4 linked regions of the Rhinolophus ferrumequinum genome follow. The protein of the gene in region 1 purifies or fractionates together with the protein of each later gene. This does not show direct contact. Links are inferred from orthologs where the notes say so. Each region holds a gene or a part of one and is shown in the gene's direction. Other genes may lie near its edges. The genes, in order: SNRNP70, CDC5L, SNRPD3 and ARGLU1.

Region 1 (8,105 bases):
CAGCATAGGGAATAGAGTCAATGGAATTGTAATAGATACATACGATGTCAGAGGGGCAATAGATTGGGGGAGGGAGGTTATCACTTTGTGAGGGGTGAAATGTCTAACTATTGCATTGTTTTGTACATCAGAAATTCGTTTAAAAACTGGAAAAACGTAAAACAAAATTGCAAAGATAGCACAATTTGTGAATATCCTACGCCCAATGTCCCCTAATGTTGGCATCTTACATTGCCATACCACCTGCATTAAAACTAAGAAATTGACACTGGTACAATACTATTGACTAAGTGACTTTCAGATTGCCTCCGTTTTCCCACTAATGTCCTTTCTCCATTGTACGATCCAATCCAGGATACCATGTTGCATTTAGTTGTCATGTCTCCTTAGTCACCTGCAATCTGATCGTTTCTTACTTTTTCCTTGTCTTTAATCACCTCAACGCTTTTGAAGAATACTGGTCAGTTATTTTGGAGACTGTCTCTCATTTTGTGTTTTACTGTGATTAGATTGAGATTATAGTGTTGGTTTTTTCTGTGGGGGAGCATGCCACAGACACAAAATTCCCCTCTCATCACATCATATAGGGGGCACAATATTGATATGTCTTATCATTGGTAATGTTCACTTTGATCACTTGGTTAGGGTAGTGTCTGCTGGGTTTCTCCATTGTAAAGTTTGTATTTTTCCCCTTGTAATTAATGACTATTTAGGGGAGCCATGTTTTGTGCTCAGTCAAGTTTATCAAGGTTTAATTTACATACAATAAAATTTACCCTTTATAGTGTACATTTCTATGAGTCTTGGCAAATGTATACAGACATGTAACTGCCACTCGAATCAAAATATAGAAAAGTCCCACCCCTTTCCTAGAGTTTCCTCCTTCCCTTTGTAGTCAGTCAACCGCTCTCCTCTGCACCCCGCCCCACCCCCGGTTTCCTGCTCATGGAAACTACTTACTGCTCTGTTTTCTCTCCCTCTGTCCCTGTAGTTTTGTTTTTTCCAGAATGTCAAATAAATGAAACCATGCAGTAGATAGCCTTTGAATCTGGCTTCTTTCACTTAATAAAATGAAGATTCATTCCTGTGGTATCAGTAGGTCTTTCTTTCTTAACTTTCTTAACTCTCGGTTGTATTCTAAGGCATGGATACACACCCATCTGTTTATCCATTCACTCTATGAAGGACATTTAAGTTACATTTCATTTTTGGTGATTATGAATAAAGCTGATGTAAAAATCCTTGTACATGTTTTTGTGTGGACATAAGTTTCCAGGTCTCATGAATAAGATAAGTAAGTAGTTAAGAGTGGCCATGATAGGTGTATAAGTAACTTTTTTTGCCATCAGCAGACAAATGTATCATAAGACTTTTTATCTTAATATCTTTTCTATCTTAAAAAAAAACCTCCTTGACTCTACTTCCCTCTCCTGCTCTTATCACCTCTCTCTGCTCTCTTTGTAGCAAAACTTCTCTGAAGAATTTTCCCTACTTGAGGTCTTCCCTTCACCTCCCTCCCATTGTCTTGTCAAGGTCACCTATGGTTGCCAAACTTCAGTCCTTACCTTTTGCATTGGACACACTGAACACTGCCTCCTTGAAGCATTTTCCTTCTTGGCTTCCTGGACCCCTCACTACCCCAGTTTTCCTCCAAAATTCGTGATCACTCCCACTCAGTCTCTTTTGCTGGTTCTTCCTGCTTTATCTAAACTCTAAATGGTGGAGGGCCTTGGGACTCGGTGCTCAGACTTCTCCCCTTCTCTATCTTCTCTCATCTCCTAGGTGAGCTCATTGATCGCATGGCTTCAAATACTATCTTTATTCCAATAACCCCCAAATCTGGGTTTTCCAGCCCCCGACTCTTCTGTAATTACCGTATGTCCCAACTTTCAACTCCACAACTGCATATGAGTGTCAAATGGGCCTCTCTGACATGTCTAAGCCCACAACTCCTCCTCCATAACCCCACTCTTCCCTATGCCTTCCCTCATCTCTAGAGAAATAGCACTATCAATTACCAAATTGCTCAGTCTACAAATGTAGGAGTGAGTCTATTATTAAGGACTATTATTAAGGGGAGATTAGCTTCATTTTTTCCCCCTTCTCCTGCCCCCCCGCCCCGCCCCACCACACTTGGTTCAAGCCGTTGTTTCTCAGTCTAGTTGTATAGGACACAGCTCTCTGGCACATGCTGGTATTACAAGCCTTGCGCTTCCCTCCCCCGCCACCGGGAGGCAGTCAGTAGCCAGCAGCACACTGCAGCCTGTAGCAGCCCAGCTCCAGGGAGAGCCTTGTTCACAATCTTAGCTGTAGAGGGCGCAGCTCACTGGCCCATGTGGGAATTGAACTGGCAACCTCGGCATTAGGAGCCCGGCACTTCAACCACCTGAGCCACCGGGCCGGCCCTTAAAATTGTTCTTTAAACTTGTTACTCTGAAATGATTTCAGACTTATAGAAATGTTACAAAAATAGTACAGAGCTCCCATATATCCTTCACCCAGCTTCCACCAATGTCAACTTCTTACATGACCAAGTACAATTATTTGTCAGGAAATTAAAATTGATATAATACTATTAACCAATAATACTGTAGACCTGACGAATTTCACCTCTCCCATGGATGTTCTTTTTCTGGTTCAGAATCTAATCCAGGATTCCACATTGCATTTGATTGTCTCCTTAATTTTCTCTAGGAGTTAGTTTTGACTTCTCTCTTTTCTATACACTCTACTCCCACTCTTACAGCAACTGAATAAGTGAGCTCTACTTTCACAATATATCCCGAATCCCACCACTTCTTTCCACCTCACTGCTACTGTCTCGGTCCAAGTCACCATCTCTTCCCTGGAAATTGTAGCCTCCTACCATGTTTCCCCAAAAATAAGACCTAGCCGGACAATCAGCTCTAATGAGTCTTTTGGAGCAAACATTAATATAAGACCCGGTCTTATTTTACTATAACATAAGACCGGGTCTTATATAATATAATACAAAACCAGGTCTTATATTAATTTTTGCTCCAGGAGATGCATTAGAGCTGATTGTCCAACTAGGTCTTTTTTTCGGGGAAACATGGTAACTATCTCCCTGTTTCTGTTTGAGCTCCTTCGCTGCATTTTTAAAAATGCATTAAAGTGATCTTTAAATATATATATATATATTAGATTACGTCCTCGTGATCAAAACGCTTTAGTTACTTCCTATTTCATTTCAACGATAATCTGTCCTCTCCCCCATGTAATACTTGATTCAGGCAAGGATCAGCAATGGTTGCTACAATCGTGAGGTGAGAGATGGTTGGGGAACAGAATATTTGCAAAGCTTCACTGCTCAGATTACCAAAGGGAAAATGTACCTTTATAAAGAGAGATCTGGCAGTTATATCCTTGACGAGGTGACCAAACTCAGCATCCTAATAGGGGAACCATTTGACATTATGAACCTCCAGATCTGATACAATATGACTTCTGAAGTAGCACCAGGAAAATGTTCTTGCCAAAAATGCTTCAGTCTATTCAAACCTTCAGACTCAATGTCCGTTGTATAGGCAAAGCCGGGGGCGTGCAACAAACTAAACAATAGAAGGAAACAATCAGACAAATCTAGATTATGGGACATTTAACTGGAAACTAGTCTGACCTCTGGGAAAAACCAACATAATGGGGAAAAAAGTGTGTGTGCGTGTGTGGATCTATTCTATATTAAAACAAGGAGATATGACAACTAATGCAATGTGTGAACCTTGACTGGCTCCTGGTTTGGATCAAAACAAAATATTCTTGGGTCAGTTGGGAAAACTTTCTTAGGGGTGAAAGTAATTTTGTGGTTATGTAGGAGAATTGGCCATATTCTTAGAAGACATATACTGAAGCATTTAGAGGTGAAGTGCCTCAGCAATTTCCTTTCAAATGGTACAGAAAAAAAATACATTATTAAGGCATTTAGCTTTGTTTATTTTCTTTAAATTTTATTTTGAAATAATTTTAGAATTACAGTAAAGCTCCAAAAAATAGTGCAGAGTTCCCACATACATACATAAAGCAAATATGTCAAAATATTTTTGAAAGAATGTGCTCTTATATTACTCGTTTCTTGAAACATGAAATTGGTCACTTAAATTTTGTAATAATTTTCTGTAATTATCATTAAACAGGCAATTGAATCTATTCAAAAAAAACCTTAAAATACAATATTGAACTCTTTGCAGGTATACAGGGCCCTAAATAACACAGCTGCCAGCTCTCTGATCTCAAGGTCCACAAAGTGGGATTTCTGCCAGTTGTCCTTAAATCAGGGCCTTTGCACTTGCTGTTAGTCCCGCCCAGGTCTCCCTTCCACAGGGCCTTTGTTCAAATGTCATCTCGTCAGAAGGGCCTTCCATTAACAACCTCTCTAAAATAGCCCTGCTCTCATTGCCCATCCACTTACACTGCCCTATTTTTCTTTATTGTGCAGGCCATTATCCGAAATTATATTTACTCTTTTAAATGCCTTTATTGTCTCCCCCAGTACAATGTAAGCTCCAAGAGGACAAGGCTTTGCTTTAGCCACGTGCTATATTCCCGAAGTTCAAACAATGCCTAGCATACATTAGGCGCTCGGTGAGCAATTATTGATTTTAAGGGTTAGGCATCTAAGTAATCATACTAGTCACATGCGGACTTTTTGCCAGGCAGCGGAAGGGTACACACGGTACATAACGATTCACGCATGCGCACAAGACTCGGGGAAGTGTGTTTGGGGAAAGGGGCGGGGTACCGAGTAAAGTCTCGCGGACACAGGCAGTTGGAGTACAGAGCGCGAGGCCGAGGCGCAATGCTTGGTGAAAAGCGCGCGTGCGTACTGCGAGCTCCAGCCGGCCGCGGCAAGAATTTAAGGTGCCGGAAGGCGGGGCAGTGATCTCGCGCGTGCGCAGTGCCCACAGCTGCGACCGGTCCGTGAGTGTGGGCAGGGGCTTGTCTCGCGCGGCGCGTGCGCAGTGCGCGCGGCGGAGGGATTTGAGGCTGGTTCCACCTTTTGCCCCTGTCGCCAACCGAGGCCGCGCGGGCTCCTGAGCAGCGGCCTGGTGCGCGCGCTGAGCTGGCGGCGGAGGCAGGAGAGCGCGGACGCCGCTGGAGTCCAAGCCAGAGCAGGAGTCCCTTCTGCTGAGGGGCCGCCGCAGCCGCCGCGAGCCCTCGGACCGTCGTCAGGTCGAGGAGGGCGCCGCGCGGCGGGTGAGTGTGACTGAGTGGCCTTACCGGGTGCGGGGCTGCTACCCACAAGTCCCCGCGGTGGGCCCCGGTCTCTTTCCCTCAACCGGGCCCACTTCCCGCGCTACCGCCACAGCACCTTTTTGTACCCCGTTACCTAGCTAGAACCTTGGGCATTTAGGCCCTCCTCCCATAGCGCTCCCGTGGTCCCTTACCCACAGGCCCTTGCGATGCGTTGCCTTTTTCCTGTCGCCGCTGAGTCCTGGACCCTTACCCATAATTCCTTTCGCCTTTGGGGGGGGCAAGATCTATTACCCACAAGCCCTTGGCTTTAGGGGTTTGCTAATTATGACCCTCTCCCGTTGATCAGAGACCTCCTGCGATCCTCGCCTTGTTCTCCAAGGTATGGGACCACCAGCCGCTACTGCTCTGGACCGCTGTCAGGATCCTTGTTTTTCCTATAATCCCCCAGGGGACCTCTCAGCTCCACAGTTCCTGGCTCAGGACGCTGAGACTACCTAGAAACCTTTTTCAGTCTTTGTTTCCCTTACGGGACTTGCCCCACCCACACACAGCCCTCTTCCAAGAACTTGCTTTCTCATTCACATTTACTTTTTTTCCTAGTGACGTAGGATTACGCCGTGCCCTTACAGAACCTATTTTAATACGAAGACTTTACCCCATTTCCCTCTTTTCTTGGGAATAAGGGATTATAGGAGCTCATCTCTACCAGCCCATCCTAACATAAGGCTGGTTCGCTTCTGTTCTCAGACTTGGCAAGATGACTCAGTTCCTGCCGCCCAACCTTCTGGCCCTCTTTGCGCCCCGTGACCCCATCCCATACCTGCCACCCCTGGAGAAACTGCCACATGAAAAACACCACAATCAACCTTACTGTGGCATTGCACCCTACATCCGAGAGTTTGAGGTGAGTTCACTGAGCAGACTTGGAGTGGTTTGCGTTCTGGGGGTCTTGGGGAGGCTGTTCTGGATTTGGGATTCCAGTATCTGGCGGTTTTCTAGCTGTGTGACTTAGGCACGTGATTTATTCTTTATGATCCTTAGTTTGTCTGTCGTAAATGGAGTTGATAATAGATCCCTTGTTGGGTTTTTGTGAAAATTCAGTTAACTAGCAGTTGAGGATTCAGACTCTGGAGTTAGGTGATCCCTTGGCTCGCACACACCATTTATCAGCTGTGTGACCTTGGGCAAGTGGTGTATCCTCTTAGTGCATTGATTTTTTCATTCTTAGCAAGGGGATAATATTATTTTTCTCATGATGGGTATTTAACTGCAAGATATATGTTATGGGGCTTGGCTGTCAGCAAATATTGATGTTATTGTTATGTTTCTGATATTAATTTGGTGACATTCATGAACGGTTAGCACTGTGTGATAGGGCGCTTAAGGCCACAGGACTGCCGAACTTCAGCTCGGCTCCCTCTGGATAAACATGACTACACGACTTAGGTTCCTGGGCCTCAGTTTTTTTTATTCGTAAACGGGGGATAACAACATCCACCTCTTAAGGTGCATCAGAGCACACCTGAGAAATGCTGGCACACAGCCAGAAGTCGGAAGAAGGAAGTTCTGGCATTGAGGGGGAATGGGCAGCTGGAGGTGAAGAAAGTCGCATAGCAGAAGTTCATAGATAATAGAAGATTGGCTCTCTAGTAGGATTTGCCATCCTCAGTGAACCAGCACTTAGGTAATGTTAGTAGCCAGTTACACTAATTTAATGGCTACAGGCTAGTGACACCCTTCGGTGATATGAGCCATGTGCCAGTTACTATTTAATGAGTGGTTGGTGACCTTCAGGAACTGCGTTGGCCCTCAGAGGGTGTCCAGTTGTCTGCTTTTGAGCACTGCACTGTTGGCTCCTTTCACTTCAGGCCTAGTCCTGAATTTGATCTGTGATAAAGGACAAATCTATTGCAGATTGGTGCTCTTGATAAACACAAAGGAATTATTTTCATTTTTCTAGCATTTTCAAAGACTACAAAATAGAAGATAAAATTTTTATCAAGTTTTACAGGTATAAAAACTCTCATCACATTGCTGTAGAAGTTTCCGAATACTACTTACTACCGATTTCTGTACTACTTTTGTCGCAGACCAGTGACAGTTTGCTGATAGCATTGGTCCATGGACCGTGCTTTGGTCTTCACCACTCCCCCGCCTCCACTGGCCTGGGAACTGTCCTTGTTTGTTTGCTTATTTGTGTGTGTATGGGAGTGGTACATGGCTGAGATGCTTATTTCCTGGATGGGTAGGTGTCCCTTGCCATTTCCCCAGTCACTCCCTCCATGTCATCTCTCCTCTTGTTCCCAGGACCCTCGAGATGCCCCTCCTCCCACACGAGCAGAAACTCGGGAGGAACGCATGGAGAGAAAGGTATGTAATATTTTGCCTCCTGGCCCTGTCTTTTTTGCCACTTCTCAAGAACGTTCCTTGACATCAGGGCACTTCCATCTGCATTGAATTGTCTATCTCCTGACAGAGGCGGGAAAAGATTGAGCGGCGACAGCAGGAAGTGGAGACAGAGTTAAAAATGTGTAAGTCTCTCTCTCATTCTCTCAGATTTCTTCTTCAAACCCTCTTGTGTTTCTCTCCCCCAAGTCAACCCCAGGTCCCTCCCTATTTTCGGAAAGTGGGGTGGTCAGTTCACTTTTTAGCCCTCACCGTTTGCCAAGCTCTGTTTGGTTTAGGCATTTAAGCTGGAGAGTGCGGAGTTAGGATTGGCAGGAAGGGAGAGCGGTGGTACTTGGGCTACGTACTGCAGGGGCGTGCGGTTGGAGGGGCTGCCACAGCCCAGCTGGGTCTCACAGGCTAAGGCAGTGAGGTCCCGGCAGTGAGGCAGTCCTGGCTCCACCTTAGCTCACTGTTCCATTCCTTCCAGGCACAGGAGGAATTGG
Region 2 (8,041 bases), on another chromosome or scaffold:
AGATCCTGGGAAAATTGAAAAATAGCCTCTGTGGACTAGAGGGAAAATTATGTTATACAGCTAGTGGCACTGAAGTCCAAATAAACCTAATGAAGCGAATTCAAATACTGTTTATATAGTCTCTGCACTCAAAGTTATCAAAATATTAAGATATTAGGGCATTAAACTTAAAATCCCACAAATGATTTAGGAATAGTCTGTATGATTCCATTGTCCTATATTTCCGGTGTGAGGTATTCAGTTGGTTAGACTGTTTGCTTTTGCTCTTAGGCATTTGGACCTCAAAAGGTAGGTAGGTAAAAGCCTTGTTTACAGGATTTGACTCGGTGAAGTATTTTAGAGTTGGAACTCTTCAAGATCATGACACTGGCCCAAAGAGGCTTTTCTTTCCTGGCTGGAAAATCAGGAGAGCGTGATATCTCAGCAATGTGCCAACTATGGTATGGTGCACCTTTTAGGGGGGCTGCTGGCCAAGTTCCCAGTGGGCTTTGGGAAAGGATATGGGAACCGGTTTGAGATGCCTGGTTCCTTTCAATGCTGGGAAACGCAAGGAGGGGTTATAGCCTGAGCCCACCCTGGAGCGTGTGGCAGCCACTGCTGAATTGAGGAGCCAGCATCGAAGCTTCCAAACCTGGGCTTTGTGAGAAACACGTACATGCCAAGTGAACACTTCTTGTTCATGAAGGAACCCAGCCTCAGATCAAATAAGAAGCCTAATATCCCGGGGACTTGTTTTCTGAGGAACTATGGCTGCCTCTCCAAATATGGAGAGGGTGTGGGGGGCCGCTTCTGGTGGTGATGGGGGTGAGCCTGGGTGTGATCATCTGGCTAGAAATGTGTTCTTTTGGTCGGGTGCAGTGTGGGCTGGAGTAAAAATTGGGGTTCCCTTAGAAAGGGAGGACAGAATGGATGCATGAGGCGTAACTATACTAAAATTATTTGTTGTTTACCTGAAATTCAAATGTAAGTGGGAGTTCGATATTTTTATTTGCTAAATCTGGCAACTTACAGCAGAGGTGGCACAAAGGAGAGGGATTTGAGGGCTACGTAGGAGGCAAGAGGTAAAAGTGGCAAGACTCTACATGGGATGGCTTGGATATGGGTGGAGGAAGGTATGGGAGGAGGAAAAGTGGCAGCAAGATGGATGTTGGTGCTGTCGACAGGGTAACATGTAGAGTCTACCCCTGTGGTATCTTTATACACTTCGAGAAAGATGTCCTCTTGGTGAACACAGTCCCACAATGTACCACTTGAGCAGTGTGCAAACTGGATTTCAGCTCCATTTGTCCCTTGTGCAGTGAACTACTTAAACCCCCGTACACGGCAGCTGGCAGCCTTCTGCTATTCACTGAAATAAGGAATCCCGTGGAGAAGTATAGATTTTCTGGGGGAAGTTCAATTTTGGGAAGTTGAAATTGAGGAGCCTGTGACTCACACAGGAAGAACCGTCCAGAATTTTGTTGGGCATTTAAGTCTGGGGTCTGGTATATGCATGTGAAAAAAAAAAAGTCTCTTGTGAGAAATGTAAATCCCAAGTCTGTGCCATGTGGATGCAGGGTCTAAATATAAATTACCCGACTGGAATATTAATCCTAAAATGAGAAATGAGCTCAAAAAGACCCTTGAACCTCTGGGGCCTGAGAAAAAAAATAAATTCTCTTTGGGAACACTTCCCCACCTGAGGGCACAGGGGACTCCCTAGAAATAACACTCATGAAGATGAGCTTCTGAGAAAAAAATTACAAACTACAGCTGGACCTACCACAGGGAAGTCTCAGTAGGTGAACCTCAAGCCAATTAGTATGATTAACCATGGTTAGCAATACAATGTGAATTACCAGCATTTAGGGTGCATGGGATTCCATTTTGTAATAACTTGACACCCAGACATTAATTTTTTCCAACACTAGCTGAGGAATTTCTAAATGGGAGGGAGGGGCTTAGGGATGGCAGTCTGGTAGATGGGGTAGGGCTAGAAGACTGTTTTGAAACTGTGTTTGCAAAGCAGCACAGTGTTTCTAGTTAAATTCCACCTGTTTATTTGGGGAGATGACGAAGATTATGGGAGTGGCTAATCCCAGCCCCTAACCATGCCTTGTTATCATAGGCTTTTGACCCTTTTTTTTTTAGCCCTTTTCTGGACAGTTTCTTGATGCAAAAAACAGGATGAAACAGAAACTAGAATTTTGATTGTTTTCTCTAATAAGCAAAGTTAGCCCAGTCAGAACCAGCTTCCCAAAAAGGGATGTGGGGTGGGGGATAATGCAACCTACAAAACCCTCCTGCTAACATCTCTTGTTACCTCTTTGTAAGCTGGATGGACCTCCAACCTCTTTCCCCTGGGCCAGAATTTCCCAAATTGTGTTTCCTGCATGTCAATAGCTACTATAAGAAAAAAGTTTTCCAGGGTCAAATTCGTTTGGAAAAGCCATATTAAAAAGGGAGGGTAGTGGTTTCCTAGGGCTGCCATAACAAAGTACCACAAACTGGGTGGCTTAAAATGAGAAATTTATTCTCTCACACACTATTTTGGAGGCTGGAAGTCTGAAATCAAGGTGTCAGTCAGGTTGGTTCCTTCTTGGGGGCTCAGAGGGAGAATATATTCCATGCCTCTCTCTTAAGCTTCTGGTGTTGCTGGCAATCCTTGGTGTTCCTTGGCTTGTAGATTCATCACTCCAACCTCTGCCTCCTTTACAAACTGTTTTCCCTGTGTGTCCACATCGCTTCTTTTTATAAGGACACCAGTGATTGGATTAGGGCCCACCTTACTTCAGTATGACTTCATCCTTAGCTTGATTACATCAGTAAAGACTCTATTTCCAAATATGGTCATACATATAGGTACCAGGGATTAGGACTTTGCACATATCTGTTTGGGGGATATAATTCAACCCACAATAGGGAGAAAACGATTTCTTCATCTTATAACTTCTTACAGGCTTTAATTTTGGTGACTCTGTGAAAGGGAGCTGACAGAGCGTACTGCTTTTTTCAAATTCAAGTAATTGTGAAAAATTTGTTTATTTTAATGGAGTATCCCAGTGTTCTGAGGAATATATTTGGGTGAGTGAGGAAGAAGTGGAGGCTCTTTCTCATTAAGCCTCTGTTTAGGAATGACCACTCCCTTTCCTAAAGGTTCACAATGACAGAAGGTACAGTTTGATTTACTGATGGTGACTGTTCCTCATGGCTGCCTTGTAAAAGATTTTTGGCAGCCCCTGGGGTGAGCTGGCCTCTTTGTGGGGGCCCTGAGGTCTGGCTGGGGAGGCTGGGGTGACATGGTGGGTTGGACTGGCCAATCCAGGCCATGCTGGAGGACAGCCTCTGGTGTTCATGGCTATGGGGCGCTGGTTTGAGACATCCCAGAACTGGTACGATGTTGCATTTTCTGAATGCTAACATGGAACATGCAACTTGCATGTTCAGGGAGGCCTTGGGGGATATCTGACAGGGTTGCTCTGTCTGAATGGGCAGGTTGTATAACGCATGCCCCTAGGGGAACCGATTCACATTGTAGATATGGTAGATCTAATTTTCTTATAGTTAAGAATGTCCTGTTCTCAAAACATTAGTATTTTGCGACGGTTTTCCAACAGATGTCAATAAAGTGCCTTGAAGAAAGGGCACCTTTTTCTAGTTGGTATAAAGTTGGTATAAATGGGGTAGAGGCGGTCCTGAGGGGGAAGGAAACACCATCATCATGGTGTTTGATCTGAAATGCTAGATCTGAAATGGCTCTCGAGAGGACTAGATTTGTTAGGAATCGTGCTTACAAATAATAGAAACCCAACTTCAACAGGCTAAAGCCCAAATGGGAACTATTCATTAGAACTCAAAACAGGGATGCATTTAGGACTGTTTTGAGGAACATACTGCATCTAGGGTCTTCTGTGTAGCCAGGACCTACCTGTCTCTCTACACTCCTGTCTTGCTCCTCTTAATGCATCTGGCACCTGCTTTTCCCCCATTTTAGTCTACATCGTACAAAACATGGTGGCTGACAACTCCTGGGTGTCACATATTAAGAGATTCATCAAACCAGCAGAGAGACTGGCCTCTTCTAGGTTCCAGTGTCAAAATTCCTGGGGAGAAGACTTAATTGGCTCAGCTTTGATCAGATAAATCAAACAGCCAGTATGTGCATGCGTGTGTGTGACACTGTAAGCACAGCAACTGAGATGATGTTGGGTGTGGAGAGGGCAGGAGGTAATGATCACACATCCTACAGAGGGTTTCTGGGACAACCACTGATCACGTGGGGTTGCCCTTCTTGTAATGATATGACATTTTGAGTAGTTACCATGTATCAGATACTGTGCTAGGTTTATGATCTCATTTAATCCCTAGGACAACCTTATGAGGTTGGTACTATTATTATCTCTACAGGTTAGGAAATTTCGGCTTAAATAAGCTCTTGCCTTTTCCTGAGTACTCCGTGCATAAATTCCTATGAGTTAAACGCCTAATAAAGTGATAAATTAATAATTTAAAAAGCTCTTTTCCGATCAACTGGGCTGAAACTCCACACGCATGATGTGCCCACTCTCCTCCACTAGGTGACGTCACGGCCAATCCCACCACCACGTTCCTTCTCGCGAAGATCGTGCTTTTCCTCCACCCTTCTTTGGCCGTGCGCGCCGCCTAGTGCGCTTTGGCCAGAGTGGATCGACGGTTTTCTGTTGGTCTTCCTATATTAGAATTTTAACAAGGCACTTTATTTTCCTTGCAGCCACCCGAATTCTCGCGATACTTGCAACTCTGCTTTCCCCCCCCCCCGCCCCGCCTTGCGCCTGCGCAGATCTTTACAAAGGAGAAGGTCGCGCCTGGAGGAAGTGGTGCCTTTGGGTCCCGTGGCCGCAGCGCCGTTACTACTTTTCTGAAGCTCCTCTCGGCCGCTTGCCGAGACACCCCACCGCCAAGATGCCGCGAATTATGATTAAGGGGGGCGTATGGAGGAATACCGAGGTAAGTCTCCTTTTCCCGCCGTCCGCTGCCCTTCGCCCCCTCCGGCAGCTTGTGCGCACGCGCGCGGAGGTGGGCGAGGAGGGGAGGATGCCCTGCGGGGTCTGCGTGGGGGAGGCGCGGGCTGGACCCTCCGGCCTTTCGTTCCCGACCCTGCGTTATCCGAGCACTTCAAGGACGGGGACCGTGATTTAACCACCTGACTACCTGCCAGGCACTTGTTAGGCCCCCCAGTGAACACCTCTTGAATTGAGGACGCGCCCCTCTCGCTGGAGGAACTCAAGAGTATGGAGGGGAAGAAGGGACATCAGCGAGAGTCGGTCTCCTGGGCACTTCCGTGCCTGAGCCCGGACACCGCGCCTCTCTTTGATACTCACAAATAAAGAAGTGCTGTGGCCACAACTTTGTTTCTTCATCGACTTCCTTGCAAAGGGAAATAAGCTTGAGTGCCAGGTTCGAAGAGCCCGTTTATGCCCGCATACCGCTGGTTATCTGTTATCGAGGCATAACTTGCCTGCCCTCCCCACAGGTCCCAAGGCCTGTCTCTTCCTGTCACTCTTCCTCACCCTGGATAGAAGCCAGATGGGATCAACTGACTTCAGTAGTTTCTTTGCTTCCAGAAATGTAGTGGATAGTGCCAGGGGTGAGCCAAAGAGCAGCAGAGACGGAGTAAAATAGAGATAAGGTGTTAGCCCAGTTTGTGTTCCTGAGTGCACCGAATTTGTCAGTTTCTGGAGCACATCGTATCTTTTCATGATCTGTGTCTTTTTATATCTTGTGCTTTCTTTAAATATCCTCCTACTACTTGGCATCTTCCGCCATCCTTCAAAACCTCTTCTTGGAAGTTTTGCCCATTCAGCCTGTAAACATTAGTCGCACCCCAGTGGTCCCATGGCTCTTCTCTCATCCATTTGTTATAGCTTGCTTTGTCCTTTTGCAGGCATCACATCCTTCTAGGTAATGCTGCGTACGTTTTTTTAACTTATCACAACCTCAGTTTTCTCATCTTTCTTATGGGGATCATAATAGCTGTCTCTTGAGGTAGATTAAATGAGTCTATGTATTTGGATCATTTAGAACAGAATCTGGCACATAGTGGTCTTTCCGTAAGTGCTACTTGCTATTTCTTTCCCCCAGCAGACAGCACTGGAAGAGAACCAGATCCCTAGAACCTAGGACAGTAACCAACAGGAAGTAGGTTGCTTGGCAAATGTTAGCAGAATGAATCTAATAGGGTAGATAACTTAGGTGAAGATGTGTTTAACTAGAGCAGTACTGCAACAAAGTTACAAGTAAAGTCAGTGATAACCTTGCATCATTGTACAGAGGGAACCAAGCCATTTAAACTGGAGAAGAGGTGACTTCTGGGGGAGAAACAGATGTACAAAATCAAGTAACAGCAGGACTCCCCTCCAGTGGCTGAAGCCCTGCAGTCTTTTTTAATCTCTGAGGATGGGAAAGTGGAGTGGGGTGGAAGAGCTCATGTGTGAGGCATATAGCTCAAGTTCAATGTGGGAAAAACCCTAAAAGCAAAATGCCCCCAAGTGCGTTCGTCTATGGCTCTGTTATCCCTGTTGTCTTTGGCTTAGCTTGCTGGGCTCCTCTGGGATTGGTTAATTCCATATTGGAATGGGTGCCACGGTGAAATAGTGTCTAGATACTTGGGGAGGTTGGAGGCGGGGGAGAAATTCTTAATTATTAGGTTTGACCTGGGATGTGGATTCTTGGATCAGAGTGGGGGTTATGGAATTGGAGAGAAAATGCCGTTTGTAAACTGGAGGCAGGAAACCTAGATTGGAGAATGGAATCACTAGAGTCTTAACTTGCTACTTGAGGGTTGGATATGTCCAATTCAAAACCTGATATAAGGTAGGTGTTCAGGAAATGTTCTTTGAATGAATGAATGAATAAGTGAATGAGCTGTATAATTTTTGAGGAGAATGAGAGTCATACTTTGGAGAATACGTTTTGTTACCCTCTATCAAGTAGGGTTTCGTAGATTGGGCTTTACCCATCTCAGTTTATTGGGGGTGGAGGGAGAGGCTGTAAAGAAGGGTAGGGTGTCCTGAGAGATGTCTTCTTAGTTTCTTGCATTTTGCTGATTCTGGCTTGCTGTTTATTATGATAGTAAATGAGATTTTTGTACTTTTTTTTTTTTTTTAAAACCTAGGAGGTATGTGTGTCTTTCTCTTTCTTGCTTGCTACCCTGTCAGAGTTAATTTAAATTTTGTCTTTTCTCGCTTGGAGTTTTGTGATTAAATATGTTGTTTTTTTCTGACAATTCTTTAAGGATGAAATTCTGAAAGCAGCGGTAATGAAATATGGGAAAAACCAGTGGTCTAGGATTGCCTCACTGCTGCACAGAAAATCAGCAAAGCAGTGCAAAGCCAGATGGTATGTACCAGTTAATGAATGGAAAACAGAAAAACGACCTTAGTTAAAATGAGGAAAATGTCAGTTCTTTGAAGCTTATAAAAGAAAGCAGGCATTGTGATATAACAGAAAGGATGGAGTGGGAGATGGGGATTTAGATTTAAGACTTAGCTGTCACTTGCTTCCTATGTGATCTTAGGCAAGCTATTTTTCTGCCCTCTCTCCTGTGCCTGTTTTCTTCCAATTGGGTGATAATACATCTTGGCCTTAACTGCTGGAGATACGAGGCTCAAGTGAGTTAATGTGCTAAAGAGTACTTTGTGAAGCATAAAATAATTCTCCTTTTATTTAGAGATGGACTCCAGCTTATAAATCGTGTTCCCAAAGTTTTAAAAGTTGATTAGAACTTACTTTCCCAAAGAAATAAATGATAAATAATGGTTAATTTTCTAGGCTAGTTCACAGTAGTTTTCTCATAATACAGTTGAAATATTGTATATTTGCTCCCCCAAAGTATAACATAACCCAACACTGCACCTGGGGTGTCCTCTTTTAAGTCACAGAGTAGTGGACACACTAAACTTTCATAGGTGTTTGTGGCATGAGTGATCTGGCCCCAGCGCTGACCCATGTGGTACGAGGACCGTATTTTGAATTGTACAAGAATGACCTAATTTCCTAGGTGCCTGGGTAGGGGAAAGGATCA
Region 3 (7,545 bases), on another chromosome or scaffold:
GCTGTGGGCTGAGCAACTGACTTCCTCTTACTGGACTGAGTCTGGCCATCTCTAAAGTTGGGGACTTTGGTCTGATTCAGTCATTCAATCAACAAATATTTTCCAAGGGCCTAGCAAGTGCCTGGCATGTTTACGAGAGATACAGCAGTGAGTGACAGGTCCCTGTCCTGGCAAACACTGAAAACAAGCAAGTTTAAGAGAAAAACCGGGGGCTTAGGCTAGGGGAAACGGTGGGGGTGTGCCTTAGAGAGGCAAGAGGTAGAGAGCGCAAGGCAGAGGGAGAACAGCGTGCACTGAGGGCCTGAGGCAGGGGCGAGCTGGCGGCGCCGGCAGGACCCTCCCACTCTGCCCTTCCATGAATCTGGACAAAGTTCAGAGTCTAAAGGACCAGGAGGAACTTCCCTTCAGTAGTCACCACCACTCACTGCTCGCTCATGACACCCATTCAGGACATGAAAAGCCTGCCCACATTGTTTCCTCACCTCAGGTCTCTGGGGCCTTTCTTGAACCCAAGACCAGCCGGTGCAGAGCCGTCCCGGGAGCCTGCCTGCCCCCCACTGCATGCCCCCAGCATGAGGGCCACGCATTAGCCCTGGAGGCCATCCTCGCCTTCCGACCTACTGGCCTCGTCTGGGCAGTGCCTTCTTAAAAGGAGTCCCGTGCTCCTACTCTCCTGTGTCTAAATCCGCCCCCGCCCTCACGGCCTGGCACAGATGCCACCACTTCGGGGCCATCTCTGAAAAAGCCACGCCCTTTCCTTCATCGGCACTCCGCCAGGCCTGAGTTCACACTTTGCCTCCCAGAGGGGACCCTGGCACCGAGCTTGTCTGTGCCCTTCTGGGCCGTTGTACATTCCTAAGAGGCAGTGACCTGTGGCGGCTCCTTTGCTGCATGGTACTGGTCTCTCTCTCCAGACTCCTCACCCTCAAGGGCACGCAGCAGCGTGGGAGGCAGGATGGCATGGGCGAGGGCAGGCCACCCACTGGCTGAGTCACCTGAGAGGCACCTGACTTCCCTGAGCCTGCTTCCGCCTTTATGAAATGCACCATCACAGACACCAGCCAGCAAGGTGGTGGGAGCGCTCAGGGCAAGGAGGTGTGTAGAGCCCTTTGTGGGTGCTGATGTGAACCCTGCCTCCATCCAGCTGGGAGGGGGCCCGGCACACTGAGTCCAGGCCTGGCTGAGGCTTTGTTCCCTCCTTCCCCCGACCCCAGGTGCCTTTAAAAGGAACCCAGGCACTTCATTCAAGGCCTTCACACATTCTCCTCCTCCCATTGCCATGGATTCAGTGCTGAGGGCTTACTCCCGCCTGACCTTTGCCTGTCTTCTCCAAATTCCACCTCAGCTCCTCTGCCATCTCTGTACACAGAAGCCAGAGGGATGCCATCCATAGCGTCCCACTGCTCTTAGGATAAAGTTCTCACAATTTACCATAGCCTGCAGGCCCTGCCCAAGCAGGACCTACCAGCCTCATCTTTGCCTTTACCCCTCATTTACCCTGTTCCTGTTACTCTGGGCACCCATCGAGCTTCATTCCACTCCAGGGCCTTTGCACATACAGCTCTCTCTACCTGGAACTCTCTTTCCCTTGCTGTTCTTAAGGCTTCCCCTGATGGTCATTTCGGTCTCAGCTCAAAGTCTCCTCTTCAGAAATGCTTTTTCTGGCTACATCTTCAGAGTGAGGGAGCCCGCCGTCACAGCATGCTGTTTGTTTCCCTCACAGTACTTAGCAAAAGTCAGTCAGTCGATCAGGCTCTTCTGTCTCCCCACTAGCCTGGAAGCTTCCTGAGGGCAGAGAATTTGCTAATCTCGTTCACTGGTATTCCCAGTGCCTGGTGTCTGATGCTTAGTAGTAATTCAACATTTGTTGGAAGAAATGAACTTGTTGAGCACCCACCGTGTGTTAGGATCTGGGGACACTGTGTGACTAAGATCCAAACCCTGCCCTCCAGGGATTCATACTCTAAAATAATTCCCCCCAATGGGCTGAGTGGAGGAGAGCTCTATGCAGGGTATTGTCCCCCCATGGTGGGGTGCCTCCCTTTTCAAGAATTCCCTGTGGACATAAACGGCCTTTGTGTTTTTCTCTACACAGGCTGTTTATTCCCCAGCCTTTCCTCTTATATATCCCTTAATTTGGAACGTTGTCTCCCATCTCTAAACGTCCGAATGCTCTGGTCCCTTTCCTTCTCTGAGACCCTCAATATGGATTATTTGAGGTGGTGTCCGTATTCCCCAGTGGACAAATGGAGAATTCTTCAGGGGTAGGTGGGGACAAGGTGGCATTTACCTCCTCCTAGCCCTCAGCCCAGAGCAGGCACCCAGACATGCTTGGTGACTGGAACATGCTTTTCCCCAAAGGCCTTATCCCTTGAGATGCCAGGGGCCTACCTGTCACCGCAATGCCCAGCACTCCCACCCCCAGGCTTCCAGACTACAGCCTGTTCATGGCTCCCTCCTTACTCTGTACCGCAGGCTCTGGTATGGACTAGCTGGGCTTTGAGTCTGTCTGTACTTTCTCCTATGCCCAGCTGTAAATGTGGCACAGGGCAGTTGCTCTGAGCTCTGCTGCCCCTTTTCTTCTTGCCCTGATCCTTTAAACTCCTTGATCCTGAGGTCCCGAAGAGCTGAACATCCCCTTGTGGCCGCCCCCAGTCTTGGCACCAGCAGGTCTGCCCATAGGGACCCACAGACACTCCTGTGGGGAATGATAAGAGTAGGCGAGGTCTTCCAAGCCCAAAGCTGCTACAAGATGTTGATGCCTGAAGCAAAGGGACTGTCCCACGTGAGAACTAGGGTCTGCCTAGAAGGCCCTGGCTGGCTTCAGTTGGCAGCTGTCACCAAGGAAGGAACGCAGCTCACTGGCCCTGAGTACTTAACCCCTCTCAGCCTCAGTCAGCTCATCCATAAAAGTGAAAATCACAAGGCAGCCTTCTTCATGGGGTGGTGATGAGGATTAACGAGGCACTGCATGTAAAACACAGCACAGTGCCTGCTAGAGAAAGCTCTCTGTGAAGGTGAGCCATTACTCCACTGACACTGAGGCTCAGGAAAAGCAAGCGCCTGGTCCGACATCACAGAGTTGGAGTAGGATGCAAATCCCAGGGTAGCATTAGACGGTACTCCTTGCTGCAAACGCAAGAGACCACTTCCTCGGGTGACACTGTGGTTCCACTGAGGCGTTAGTGTCAGGTTCCCACGCGCTCGCTCTTGTCCTCTCCCATGAGTTGGCAACTCACTTCAGAGTTTACTACGGTAGTACTACCACTACCACTGTCTCGTTCTCATCAACCCTGTGCCTTAAGCAGAGAAGAAATCACTCCTTTCCCCCTCCCCCACCTAGAGAAGCAAACTGAAGACCGTGACACTGAATGTCAGTCTTGGTTTCCACCCCAAAGGAACTCAGGCCACCTCGGCGCAGAAGGAACCAGAGGGTGAAGAACTGTACAGGACAAAACGCTGAGTCCGGGAGGCCAGGTAAGGGCCCTCCCATTGCTCTGTGCTCTCAGCAGTTCCTTGCGCTTCTAGGCCTTGGTTTCCCCAGGGGTCAGGATCTCCCAAGGCGACTCCAGCAGGACTTTTTGCTTCTGGGGAAGGTGGCGCCCCAGCCTCACACGCTGGGACCCTCCCCACCATGACCGCTACCAGAGCTGACTGGGGTCTCAGCCCTGGGAGTATCAGGAAACCCCAACTGACAGGGGCTGGAGGGTAGGGAACCAAGGCGGCTGCGTACACCTGGCCAAGTTTCGCTGGAAGCTCTATAGCCTCGCCGGAGGCGGCGGTCGGCCCAAGGTCGCGCGCGCGGCCGGACCCTGCCCCGCGCTGTGGAGGGGTGGGAGTACCCCTCGTTCCCGAGTGAGGGCTGGGCCCTCAGGGAGGCACTAACCGGGCTCGAGCGGCGACCCCGCTGCCTCCGCCTCCGTCCTCATGACCCGGGCGGCGCGGGGCGCCCATGGCCCCGGCCTGGCGCCGGCTGTAGCTTCGGCTGGGGCGGGAGTGGGACCGGAACGTGTAAGGCTCCTCCACCGCCACCTCCACCGCCAGCGCGGTGGGGAGAAGAAGAGGCGGTGGCAGAGCCTCCCCAAGCCCCGCCCCGGCCCCTCCAGGCCTCAGATCCTGGGACCCCGCCCCTTCCATAAGCTCCTCCCCTTCCCTGGGCCTCCAAAGAGGCCACCCCTTTCCCATCCCTCGTCCTATTACTAGAGGCCCCCCGCCTCCTGATCTAAGCCCGCCCGGGCCAGTCGCAGCCTTGGCTTTTGGTGACCCCGCCCCTTTCCCAGTTCTCGCGCAGACGCACAGGCCCTTCTCCGCCTCCGTTCCCGGGGAGCCCCGCCCCTCTCTGAGCCCCGCCCCGAAACCCTGTAGTCCAGCGAACATTGGCTCCCCAGAGGCTCTTCCCCTTAGCAAGCTCCACCTCTACTCACACCCGCTTCTTTGTCAGCCTCAGGTCCAAGGCCTGGTCCTGTGGCATAAATCGTTGGGCTTCGGGAGACCTAACCCTACTCCGAATCCCTGGGCCGGCACCCCCTCTTCTCTATACCTCAGTTTCCCTATCCGTATGGTGAAATTCGTCGCCTTGCTCAGGTCGCACTTACCTGGCAGTGCCGGGTTCCAAAGGTTAAATTGTGAGGGGAGATCCTAGCCTTCGGCCCTACCGCCTGCTGCCCCCGATCCGACGGCCCAGACCCTAGATCTCCGCCCTTGGATCCAGCCCGTCCCTGGTGGGGGGTGCTTGGAACCGCGAGTTCCCCTCTTCCCTTGACGGGCTGAAGGTCGGTATTTCGGGTGGCACCTGGGCCCCATCATCAACCCTCTTTTCTGGGGCCGGAACGATCGTACCAGAGCCCACGTTTCCTAGCCGGCGGGGTGAGGAGGAGGCGGAGGCGAGATCGCTCTCACCACTAGGAAAAGGAAGGGGTCGGGTTCTGCGCGCGGCATTTTGGGAACGCATGGTATTCTGGGAGAGCGGAATCCGCCATTCGCTCGCCTCACGCCGTCGGAGTCGCCTGAGACACCGCAGCCGCGCGGGAAAGGAAGAGGAGACCGGAACCGGTGAGGAAAGGCCAGGGGCAGGCGAGGGTAGGCCGAGACACCCGTGAGGGGCCGGGGGCTGGAGGACGCACAGCCATGGAGCTCTGCGTGGCTCGGGGAGGGAGAAGAGCGGGAAGCCTGGGCCACCCAAACATCAGCGTCGCCTCACTAGCGCCTGGAAGTGAGTTTATTAGCTTTTCCCCAAAGTACATGCTCTTCATTTTCTATACCTCTCCAGGTCTGTTTTTCGAAGTGTGCAGGCAATAGTCTTGAAATCATTTCTGACTGATTGCCTCCATCCTCCATTCAGGCGCTGGTGCCCCGTGCTTTCCACACTGGTACAGAAGTTTTATCACGTTCCCCTGCTTCTTAACTGTGTTTGATCCATTTTATAAGTGCTGCTACCTTTTTGTTGGATTATTCCTTACATATAATCTTGCAGTGGTCCTTCGCTGTTTTCAGCCTAAAATCCACACTCCTAAGGCTCCTCTCCAAGGGAGCCGGCGTGTTTTTCCCAACCTCGTGTTCCTTTTCCTTTCTTGAACACACATGGTGCTTTCCAGCCTTTAGTCGTTGTTCATTTTGGAGTTAAAAAACCCTTCACTTGTCTCGTTCAATTAGGTCAAGCCAGGCGCTTGCCCTGATTGTTTCTCTTCCAATAAAAGCATTTCCTGCTTCTAGCACATTGTCACTCTGTGAACACTTTGATATTTTCTCTTTAGCCTTGATGGTGAAGTGGAGGGTCAAAGGGCATAGAATGGGTTAAATTAAATACACAACCTCTTCCAGATTTGCCTGCATCCTTTGGTCTATATGAGCAGTGCTTAGTAATACTGTATATATGTATGCCCAACACTAGCCACATGTGGCCATTGAGCACTTGAAATGTTGCTAATATGACTGAGGGACTGAGTTTTTTAAATTTTATTTCATTTTAATTAAGTTTAATTTAAATGGCTACATGTGGACAGTGATTGCTGTCTTGGACAGCTCGGGTTTATATCATGGGTTCTCAAAATGGTGTCACCTACAGCTCTGGGTTGACAAATACATTGTAAGGTAATGCATGCCACCCCCCTTGCCCCCAAACACACAGAATTGATTGATGGTTATTTGGTGAAGATAAAGGGACATAGGATAGCAGGGAGGAAGATGGAAGGTACTTTTCATTCCCATTAGATTTCCCTCTACCCGGGCTTCCATTCCTCCCCACCCCACATGTTCCATGTATTTTTTCAGATAGGTACCTCAAGCTAGATGTTAAGCTTTTTTTGTAGAAAATGCAGCTGAGACATCTTTGCTAAGTTTTATGGAGTGTCAGGCCTTAAGGGAGGCATGGTATGTGCCACATGCCTTCTCAGGCCCTGAAAGATGAACTAACTGTTGTCTCTCCCACTGTAGAACTCTCTTCCTGCCAAGATGTCTATTGGTGTGCCGATTAAAGTTCTACATGAGGCGGAGGGTCACATTGTGACGTGTGAGACAAACACTGGTGAGGTGTACCGTGGGAAGCTCATTGAGGCGGAAGACAACATGAACTGCCAGGTATCCTGCTTTGTACATGAGACTGGAGAAAGCTTGTGTCTCTGTCTTGCGGGACAGAAAGATGGTGACTGGAGGTCTTTTTGAAGTTCTCATTGAACAGTTCCTTACTGAGTGCCTAATGTGTGCCAGAGACTGGTATAGGTGCGGGCATATGGGCATGAATAAGAGCCATTCAGAAGTTTGGAATATTTAACTTTGTCCTTTGTCCCATATTTGGGGGACTGTTTAAGAGAAGTGGCACTGCTCCCTTTGTTGGAATCCTTCAGGTTCAGACCATTATCCATTTGCCCCCACATATTTGCATAATGCTTTGCAGTTAGCAAAATCTTACACTCACATAATGTGCTTATTTGCCAGTTTTCTTGAGGGGAAGAATTTCATTTGATTATAGCAACTACCTTTCGAGGTAAATGGGTTTGGTGGGAGTTTTGTCATCCATAAAATAGGGAGAATAAGATTAAAGGACTCATCTAGTGAATGTCACCCTGCTAATAAATGTTGGAGCAGCTTCCTGATGTGGTGTTCTTCCCGTGGCACTACTTTGCTTTTAATAATCACAAGAATCTGTATAACATTACAAAGTGTATCCGCACACTTTCTCCTTTGTTCTTTAAACCATCAGTTAAGAGCTTGGGCTTTGGAATCATGTTGGTTTGAATCCTGATTATACGACCATAGCCATGTTAATCACCTCAGTTTCCTCATCAGTAAAATGGGAATAGTGTTACTTTGGGTCCTCTGTGATGTAGATGCCAAAACTGAGGAGAGTAGCATGGGGCAGAAATGGCCTGGCTCTAGTACCCCCGCTGTGGCCAGTCATTGGCTGGCAGCCTGCGGAGAGAGTGGCCTCGGGGTGTATGTATGCTGTAGTGGATACCAAAGGTGGCAGCTGGAGCTTGTCAGCTCCCTGCATTCCTCACAGCCTGTTGTCCCTTGAAGGGAAACCTCAGCAGAGCTGCAAAGATTGCC
Region 4 (7,658 bases), on another chromosome or scaffold:
TTCTAGGGGTAACCAGATAATGCATCCCATGTTTACTCATTCAAATTACATTTTGTTGAATCCTTCCCGTGTGCAAGGTACTAGGCCCAAGACAGAAAAACAGAAATGAACAAATCAGACATGGGCACTCCTCTCCCCACCCCTCAAGAAGTTCACCTTTTCACGAGTGATGAATATTAAATAACTAACATTTCTTTAAAAATCACAAATGCAAAAAGTGCTGCCAATGAGAACTAACTTGCTGAGGGGCAAGGACTTGAATGGGGTAGGGAAGGATGGCGATGAATGGGGTTTAGCTCAGGAAAGGGTTAGGGAGATGATTTTCTAAGAAACAAGAAAGACTGATTGGTTGATAAATGAGCTATGGGGAGATTGGAACCTGGTGCCCACGGGCTCCACCTATATGTTAAGCGTAGGTATAAATCTATGAGCAACTAGCGCAGTATTTGCACAAAATAGGCACTTAGTATTTATGACCCAAATAAATGATGCTTCATCAACATGTTACAGGATACATCTCAAATTCTGAAAAGTTGGTTGAGGATTGGTAATTTAAGAATAAGTAGGAAAGATATTCCATCTCCTGGGTATTTTTTACATTAGAAGATTGTTCTTTAGAATGATCTGTTTTTGAATGATATGTTATTTACATTTGGCTATTGTAATTATTCAGAGATGAACTGAGGAAACACTTAATGGGAGAAGAGAATGGAAAAGAGGAGGCAACAGGAAATTTAAACCGTCTAAAAACAAAACAACAGAAATAAAACCAAACTCATACTCAAAATAAAAGCCACTCAAATCTTATTCAGTCAGTGTACGTTTATCGAGGTTAGCATGCCAACCCAGTAGTTTCAATGAACACAAAACCACCAAGATCTCTAGAACTGGATTCCAGTGGCAGAAGATAATCAATACACAAGTAAATTCATTTGAAAAAAAAAAAGACAAATTCAGGGAGTGTGGAATGCCGAGATTTTGATAATTATAAAGTGGAGGCACGGAATGTTTGTGTCCCTTATTCCTTTACTGCATCCTCAGAGGTAATCCCTCCTAATTCGGGGCCTTGGATTTTGATGCACCTTTGTTTTCCAGGTTTTTTTTGTTTGTTTGTCTGTGTGTTTTTTTTTTAGGGTGAGCAAGAAGACATGGCTTGAGGTGGATAAATAGCATCCTCTTTTAAAAGTTCTGTAAGTTATCTTAGAGCCAACCCCAGTATACATAGAATTCAAATAAAAAGATTATTTGCTTTGTAAGCAACTTTAGGCTAAGCTTCCCAGTTCATTCCTCCAATTCTAGATCTTTCTATGTAATGTGTAGCTATCATTCACATAGATAAATATAAACACACAAATATGCTTTTGGAAACAAAAATGAGATTGCGATCTACAATTCTACAACTTTCCTTTTTCACCTACTAGCCATAATTATACTGAGGACATCTTTGCACATCAGTCCATATAGATCTGTATTGCTGGACCATTAACATTTAGATTGTTTTCAATTATCTGCCATTCAACCAATGCTGAGATAAATAGTCTTATATACGAGGTATGTACAAAAAGTATGGCGAATGTTTAAATTAAAAGAAGATTATTATGGTAAAAGACACATTGCCATTAATCCCCCTCAAAATACTCCCCCTTGCTTCAAACACGCTTATCCCATCATTCTTGCCACTTTCTGAAGCAGTTCTGGAAGTCCTCTTTCGTGTCTTTAGTTGCACTGTCGTGGATGCCTCGATGTCCTGAATCGATTCAAAACATTTACCTTTCAGGGTCATTTTGACTTTGGGGAAGAGCCAGAAGTCGCATGGTGCCAGATCCGGTGTACAAGGTGGATGAGGACACACCGAAATGTTTTTATTTGACAGAAATTGCCATATACCAGAAGCAATGTGTGACACGGAGCATTGTCATGATGGAGGATGATTTATGGCACACTTTAAAACTCACCTTCTCTCAACCTTAGCTCATACCCAACTGACTGCACCGAACAAGTTGAACTTGTCACAAACTGTTACTAAGGTTTGACACGCCACTTCCCATATTGAAGATTCCTGCCTTTCTGAAAGTTGGATGGCACTCGGCAGGAGCATTCATCGTATTTTTTTTTATCACACCTTGTATTGTTATATCATAAGTATTGTGGTGTTTTATCTGTGGGACAAAGTCTTGGAAGTGAGAATGATGGGTCAAGGGTTATAAAAAGTTAAAATGTTGATAGACATGTTCAAATTACACCCTAAAAAGGTTGTAATAAACTATTAACAGTATATATGGGTGTTTGTCATCAACACCTCTCTTCTTCACCTTACTAACACTTTATTTATAATTTTTAAAGTAATTGTCAATTACAGGAAAACACACACAAATAATTGCTATTTAAATTTGCATTTACCTGGTTATTAGTGAGATTTAGATTCTTTTAACAGGTTTTTTTAATCAGTTGTATTTTTTTTCTGTGAATGGCTTATTTATACCCTTTGCTCATTTTTCTGTTGAGTTGTTTCTATTTCTCTTATTGGTTATTAGGAACTTTTTATATACTAACGATATCAATGCCTTTTTGCTAAATATTGCCAAGTATTTTCTCTCAAAATTGTCTTTTATTTACATAGATAAACATATTAACTTATTTATTTATACCAGTGTTTCTCAAACTATGGTTGGTGAAATGCATACAAGAGAATCATGTGGGGTACTTATTAGAAATGGAGGTTCTGGGCCCCAAGCACTATATGAGAATCTCTGGCAGAGCCATTGCTTCATAGTCACTTATTCTAATTTCCTAAATGATTATATTTTTTAATGATATTTTAAGCATCTGAATATATTTAGACTTCTAACCATCTTAGTTTTTGTTCCTGTTATGATGCAAAAAATCCCTTTATTAGTTTTGTAAAATACCACATACTTATTATAAAGAATTAACGACATGCAGAAAAATACTAAGAAAAAAAAGGTTTTAAAAAGATTCAACTGTAGTTGATTAAACAGTATCCCCCCCAAAATTCATGTGACTCGGACATGTAACTTTATTTGGAAATAAGGTCTTTGCAGATGTAATTAAGAAAGATGAGGTCAAAATGATGAGGGTGGGTCCTAATTTAATCATCAGAATCACTACACAAAAAGGACAGACACAGTAACTGCCATGGGAATACAGAGACTAGATTGGAAACCAGGGGACGTCGAGGAATGCCAAGGATTGCCAGCAACCACCAGAAGTTAAGAGATGCATGGAACAGATTCTCCCTCAGAGACTCCTAAAGAACCAACCTTGCTGACATCTTTTATTTTGGACTTCTGGACTCCAGAACTGTTAAGTGAGGAAGTTCCTGTTACTGTATACCACCAGTTTGTGGTGTTCCAGGAAACCATATACCAACTAACTGGAAATAACTGTCTTTAACATTAGCTGGGCATCATTCCAGCCTTTTACTGAACTCAGTTTTAAGATTGAGGCACCTAGATTTTCAAGGTTTCCTATCATCTATGAATAGTAATGCCGTCTTTTATTTTGGGGGCTTGACAGCAATAGTTTGTTGTACCATATAGGGTCACAGCTGTCCTGGCTAAGATTTGTTGGGCTTATCAGTTATGTGCAGGGGCTTTGCAACATACACACTTCTGCTCTGCCACCTGCTAGCTGTGTGACCGCGCAACTTCTTTACCCTCTGACCTTAGCGTCCCCATCACTAAAATGAGAATTAAAACGCCAGTTAATAAATGCAATGCACTTAAAACAACGCCTGGCACATGAAGCCCTACGTTAAGCATTGGCTTCCACTTATCAAAGCCTACTTTATCTCTTGTAAGCTTCACAACCACCTCATAAAATGTGGTTATCTCCATTGCACAAATGAGCAAGCTAAGCAGAGAGGCAAGTGATCTGGTCAGGGTCACTCTGACATAATTTAAGTCTGCCTGACAAAAGCAGCTCCTAGAAAATGAAGCAGTCAGTTCGTGACGAGGCAAGACTTCGTTCGCACCAAACATCCTACCAGAAAGCAAAATGCACTAAAGCAGAAACGAGGGACTCCAGCTCCCACGCCGCAGGCTGGCGCGGAGACTGGCGGAAGGAGCCGACCGCGTTCGGAAGCGCTCGCCTCGCCTTCGGCAAGGATCGTCGGGGGCGGGGCTCGCGCGACGGCGCGTTCCGCGCGTGGCATTGTGGGAAGGGCGGCCGGTGCAGCCCCGGCTGCCATCTTAGCAACTCCTGGTGTTGCGGCCTGCTCGTCGGAGGTGGCCTTCGTGGCGGCGGTCTACCTCAGAGAGTGACAGAAAATCAGCTGGCTGACAGTTTTCCTGCCCCCAGCTTCAACAGGACGGGCAGCCTGCGTCTGGAGGTGGAGGCGAGAGCAGCCAGGCGCGTGCGGGGCCCGAGGCCAGCGGTTAGTCACAGCGTCCCCCGGAAGGATGGGCCGGTCTCGGAGCCGGAGCTCGTCCCGCTCCAAACACACCAAGAGCAGCAAACACAACAAGAAGCGGAGCCGGTCCCGGTCGCGTTCCCGGGACAAGGAGCGCGTGCGGAAGCGCTCCAAATCCCGGGAAAGTAAACGGAACCGGCGGCGGGAGTCGCGGTCCCGCTCGCGTTCCACTAACACGGCCGTATCCCGGCGCGAGCGGGACCGGGAGCGCGCCTCGTCCCCGCCGGACCGCATCGACATCTTCGGGCGCACGGTGAGCAAGCGCAGCAGCCTGGACGAGAAGCAGAAGCGAGAGGAGGAGGAGAAGAAAGCGGAGTTCGAGCGGCAGCGAAAAATGTGAGCGCCCGCGGGGGAGGGGCGGGGGCCGGGAGGCAAGCTGGGGGGGGCGGGGAGAGAGGGGAATGGGGACGCGGGAACCCGCGCGAGAGGCTGCGGCACGGGTGTGTGGAAAGCCTCGGGCAGGACAGACCCACGAGTTGGTTGGGAAGGGAAATCGTGGAGCTTGAGCTGGAAAGGTTTAGCGGGGAGAAAGCGATTTTGGCGCGAGAGGGGAGGAGAGTGCCGGAAGTAGGGGGTGGAGTTCGGAGTGGGTTGGAGAGCTGCGTCGGCCAAGGGGCGAAGAATTAGCCAGTCTGAAGACGTGTCTGGAGAGTGTTTGCAGGCCCGCTGGAGAAGAGCAGAAAGGAATTAAGCGGTGGGATGCAAATCGCAGCTGGCCAGAGTGTTCTTGTGTTGCGGCTTGAATTGGGGACTGGGCTTCTCAGGAATAAGGCACTTGAGGTGCTCCGACAGTATATACCCAAAAATGCATTTTAATGTATTCCTGTTAAAATTATGTCTCGGTCAGTTTTCTCGGGTCTCCTCAGTTTTGTTTTGTTTTTAGAGGCGTAAAAACGAAATGCACAAACCTTAAGTGTACAGTACGATGAGTTTTGACGCTTGAATTCACCTTGCTAACCACCATCCCAAAGCCTACTCATTTTACTTTTAATTAATATTGATTATAGTCTTCTGTAGCAAACTTCGGTGCAATCCTGATACTCGTTCCCCCTTGTATACTTAGACACTTGAACATTCGCTTTTATTTTTGTGTTTTTTACATGCAGACTTCTATGTAAGGAAAATCAGAGTCACAGGTTCCCAGTTTGACATACTGTTTGGGTAAAATGTATTTCTGGAAAGAGCCACCTCTCAAAAGTAGGTGTAAATAATTCCAAACTAATGAACTTTTGAGTTTAAAATGTAGTGTTTGGTTTAAGACTATGGTACTCTGCTCTGAATATTCCTTCCTCACAGACCTATTGAAAGATAGGGTTAGACAAACGTGTGCACTTCCCCTATTTAACCACTATCTTCCTCAGTTCTTCATTGCATGTTTAGAAATTGCTCATGAGGCTGGAAAAACTGAATTTAGAATTTTCCTGAGATAAATATATGTGTACTGAATTATCTAGGGGTGTAAATTTTTTCTGCAGTTAGGTTTGTACTCTGTAGGCTTTCCAGCAGTTTGTTTCTAAGAGCAAAGTTATTAAGAGGTAGGAGACAGGAGCACTAACTAATAAATGTTATAGTGGAAGCAATACCTGGAGAGGTGTTTTGCTGCATCCCTTTAAAACATGCACAACACTTGCATCTTTCCTTAGAAATGTCAATTACACACACACACACACACGAAGTACAAGTAGTTTCACAACAAACCATTATTACATAGAATCCAGTTGTTTTGGTCTGGAATAAGATTAACTTAAAAGATGTTGCTCTCAAATAACTACCAACAGATGGACATTTAAAAAAAAAATAAGATATCTCTGAGATAATTTTTCCATGTGAAAACAAAGGAGCCCTCCAAAGAGTGATGATTTGCCATTCACTAGAAAGCTAAGCCTTGTAGGAAAAGTGAAAGGAAATGTGGTATGTGGAGAATAATTAGAGCCATTTAGCAAGCTGCACATTGAGAGCAGAGAAGAAATCCAGGGATGAAAATGAGAGAATAGAGCAGCTACGTAGTTCCAAGTGATAGAAAAGGCAAACTACCATTAGTACTTACCAAGGAGGGAGGGGGCAGAGCTAACAGCCACCTACCTGTACATTGAATTTCTGTATGCTCTGCAGCAGGCACTATTTAATGTGGGTCTAATGCCTTAGAAATAATGCAAAGGAAACAATGGAAAGACCTAGGTTTTGGAGCCATGAGCCATGAGAATTGGAAGAAGTCATATGTCTGCAAATCCCTGTTGGTTAGTTCATTCACCTAATATTTATTGAGCATTTAATGTGCCAGGCGCTGTGCTAGGTGCTGTTAATAGAAAGATGATTGGAACCCTCTCCAAGATCTTGATCTAGCTTGAAGATAGATACAGATAGGTAGGTAAGTACTAATTCCAGTGTGATTCAGTGACGGTGATGTGAGTAGAAAGGAAGCATCTTGGATGGGTAAAATACCTGTTCTCTTAAGTGGGTCACAGATAAAAGAAGAGACTGTCCAACTTAGGCATAGGAGGATATATATTCGTATGTGGACCAAAGGAGAGTCCCCTCTACCCCTGCCTGAATAAAGGGAGGAGGGGCAGAATGGTAAAAAGATGAATGTTATTGAAATAGGAAGTACTACAAGCATTAATGTCACGGAGTTATTAGGGACGTAAAATAGAGGCTGGGAATCATGGGAAGATGTTGTATGCCATATTAAGGAGCTTGGATTTCATCCTAAAAACAGGAAAGGCTTTAATTTAAGCAGGTAAATGTGGGAGCTTTTTTTTTTTTTTAACTTACCCTCTGTATAAGGATAGAACTCGTTACATTTACATTAAGTCTATACAGGAGTAATGTGGGAGCAGTAGTTAGAATGGAAAAGAGGAAAAGATGTACAAACCGTTTAGAACAAATAAAATTGGATGTGAAACAAGGGACAAAAAGCATTAATATTAGCTCTCATGTTTTTATATTGTGGCTATTACATCTCAGCCATCAAATGTTTAAGTAACTACTATGTGTCAGACACTGGTTAAAATGTCAGAAACCCAGTGGATAGGGGAGAGGGGAAATTCAAAGGGAATTTCCACTGTGAACACTAATTTTTTGGAGTTTACCTAAGGTTGGTATGGGGGACAAGCCTGGGGCAAACCTTGAGAGTAGACAGAATGACCCAGGGAGAGTGGGTAGAGAAGAGCAGTTGGTTCCAGGGACTGAAAGAACCTTAGGGAATGTTCCTATTCACAATTGGATG

What was found.
Region 2: the proteins of SNRNP70 (region 1) and CDC5L purify together in Homo sapiens (affinity purification with mass spectrometry; 3 studies listed by BioGRID and IntAct, counting the BioPlex papers as one, with this or other methods). This does not show direct contact. The link is inferred for Rhinolophus ferrumequinum from reciprocal best matches to the Homo sapiens genes SNRNP70 and CDC5L.
Region 3: the proteins of SNRNP70 (region 1) and SNRPD3 purify together in Homo sapiens (affinity purification with mass spectrometry; 6 studies listed by BioGRID and IntAct, counting the BioPlex papers as one, with this or other methods). This does not show direct contact. The link is inferred for Rhinolophus ferrumequinum from reciprocal best matches to the Homo sapiens genes SNRNP70 and SNRPD3.
Region 4: the proteins of SNRNP70 (region 1) and ARGLU1 purify together in Homo sapiens (affinity purification with mass spectrometry; 3 studies listed by BioGRID and IntAct, with this or other methods). This does not show direct contact. The link is inferred for Rhinolophus ferrumequinum from reciprocal best matches to the Homo sapiens genes SNRNP70 and ARGLU1.

What each region holds. Positions count from the first base shown.
Region 1 is NC_046298.1:44,386,447-44,394,551, forward strand, and holds the start of SNRNP70 (U1 small nuclear ribonucleoprotein 70 kDa), read left to right. Parts: upstream 1-4,967; 5' UTR 4,968-5,214; intron 5,215-5,961; 5' UTR 5,962-5,971; coding exon 5,972-6,118; intron 6,119-7,521; coding exon 7,522-7,584; intron 7,585-7,690; coding exon 7,691-7,745; intron 7,746-8,105. UniProt on the Homo sapiens protein: Component of the spliceosomal U1 snRNP, which is essential for recognition of the pre-mRNA 5' splice-site and the subsequent assembly of the spliceosome. SNRNP70 binds to the loop I region of U1-snRNA.
Region 2 is NC_046286.1:13,593,251-13,601,291, forward strand, and holds the start of CDC5L (cell division cycle 5-like protein), read left to right. Parts: upstream 1-4,801; 5' UTR 4,802-4,920; coding exon 4,921-4,965; intron 4,966-7,252; coding exon 7,253-7,356; intron 7,357-8,041.
Region 3 is NC_046308.1:22,250,825-22,258,369, forward strand, and holds the start of SNRPD3 (small nuclear ribonucleoprotein Sm D3), read left to right. Parts: upstream 1-4,431; 5' UTR 4,432-5,052; intron 5,053-6,432; 5' UTR 6,433-6,450; coding exon 6,451-6,576; intron 6,577-7,545. Other genes in the region: protein GUCD1, read right to left, coding at 3,887-3,929. UniProt on the Homo sapiens protein: Plays a role in pre-mRNA splicing as a core component of the spliceosomal U1, U2, U4 and U5 small nuclear ribonucleoproteins (snRNPs), the building blocks of the spliceosome.
Region 4 is NC_046287.1:50,686,414-50,694,071, reverse strand, and holds the start of ARGLU1 (arginine and glutamate-rich protein 1), read left to right. Parts: upstream 1-4,177; 5' UTR 4,178-4,421; coding exon 4,422-4,768; intron 4,769-7,658. UniProt on the Homo sapiens protein: Dual function regulator of gene expression; regulator of transcription and modulator of alternative splicing. General coactivator of nuclear receptor-induced gene expression, including genes activated by the glucocorticoid receptor NR3C1.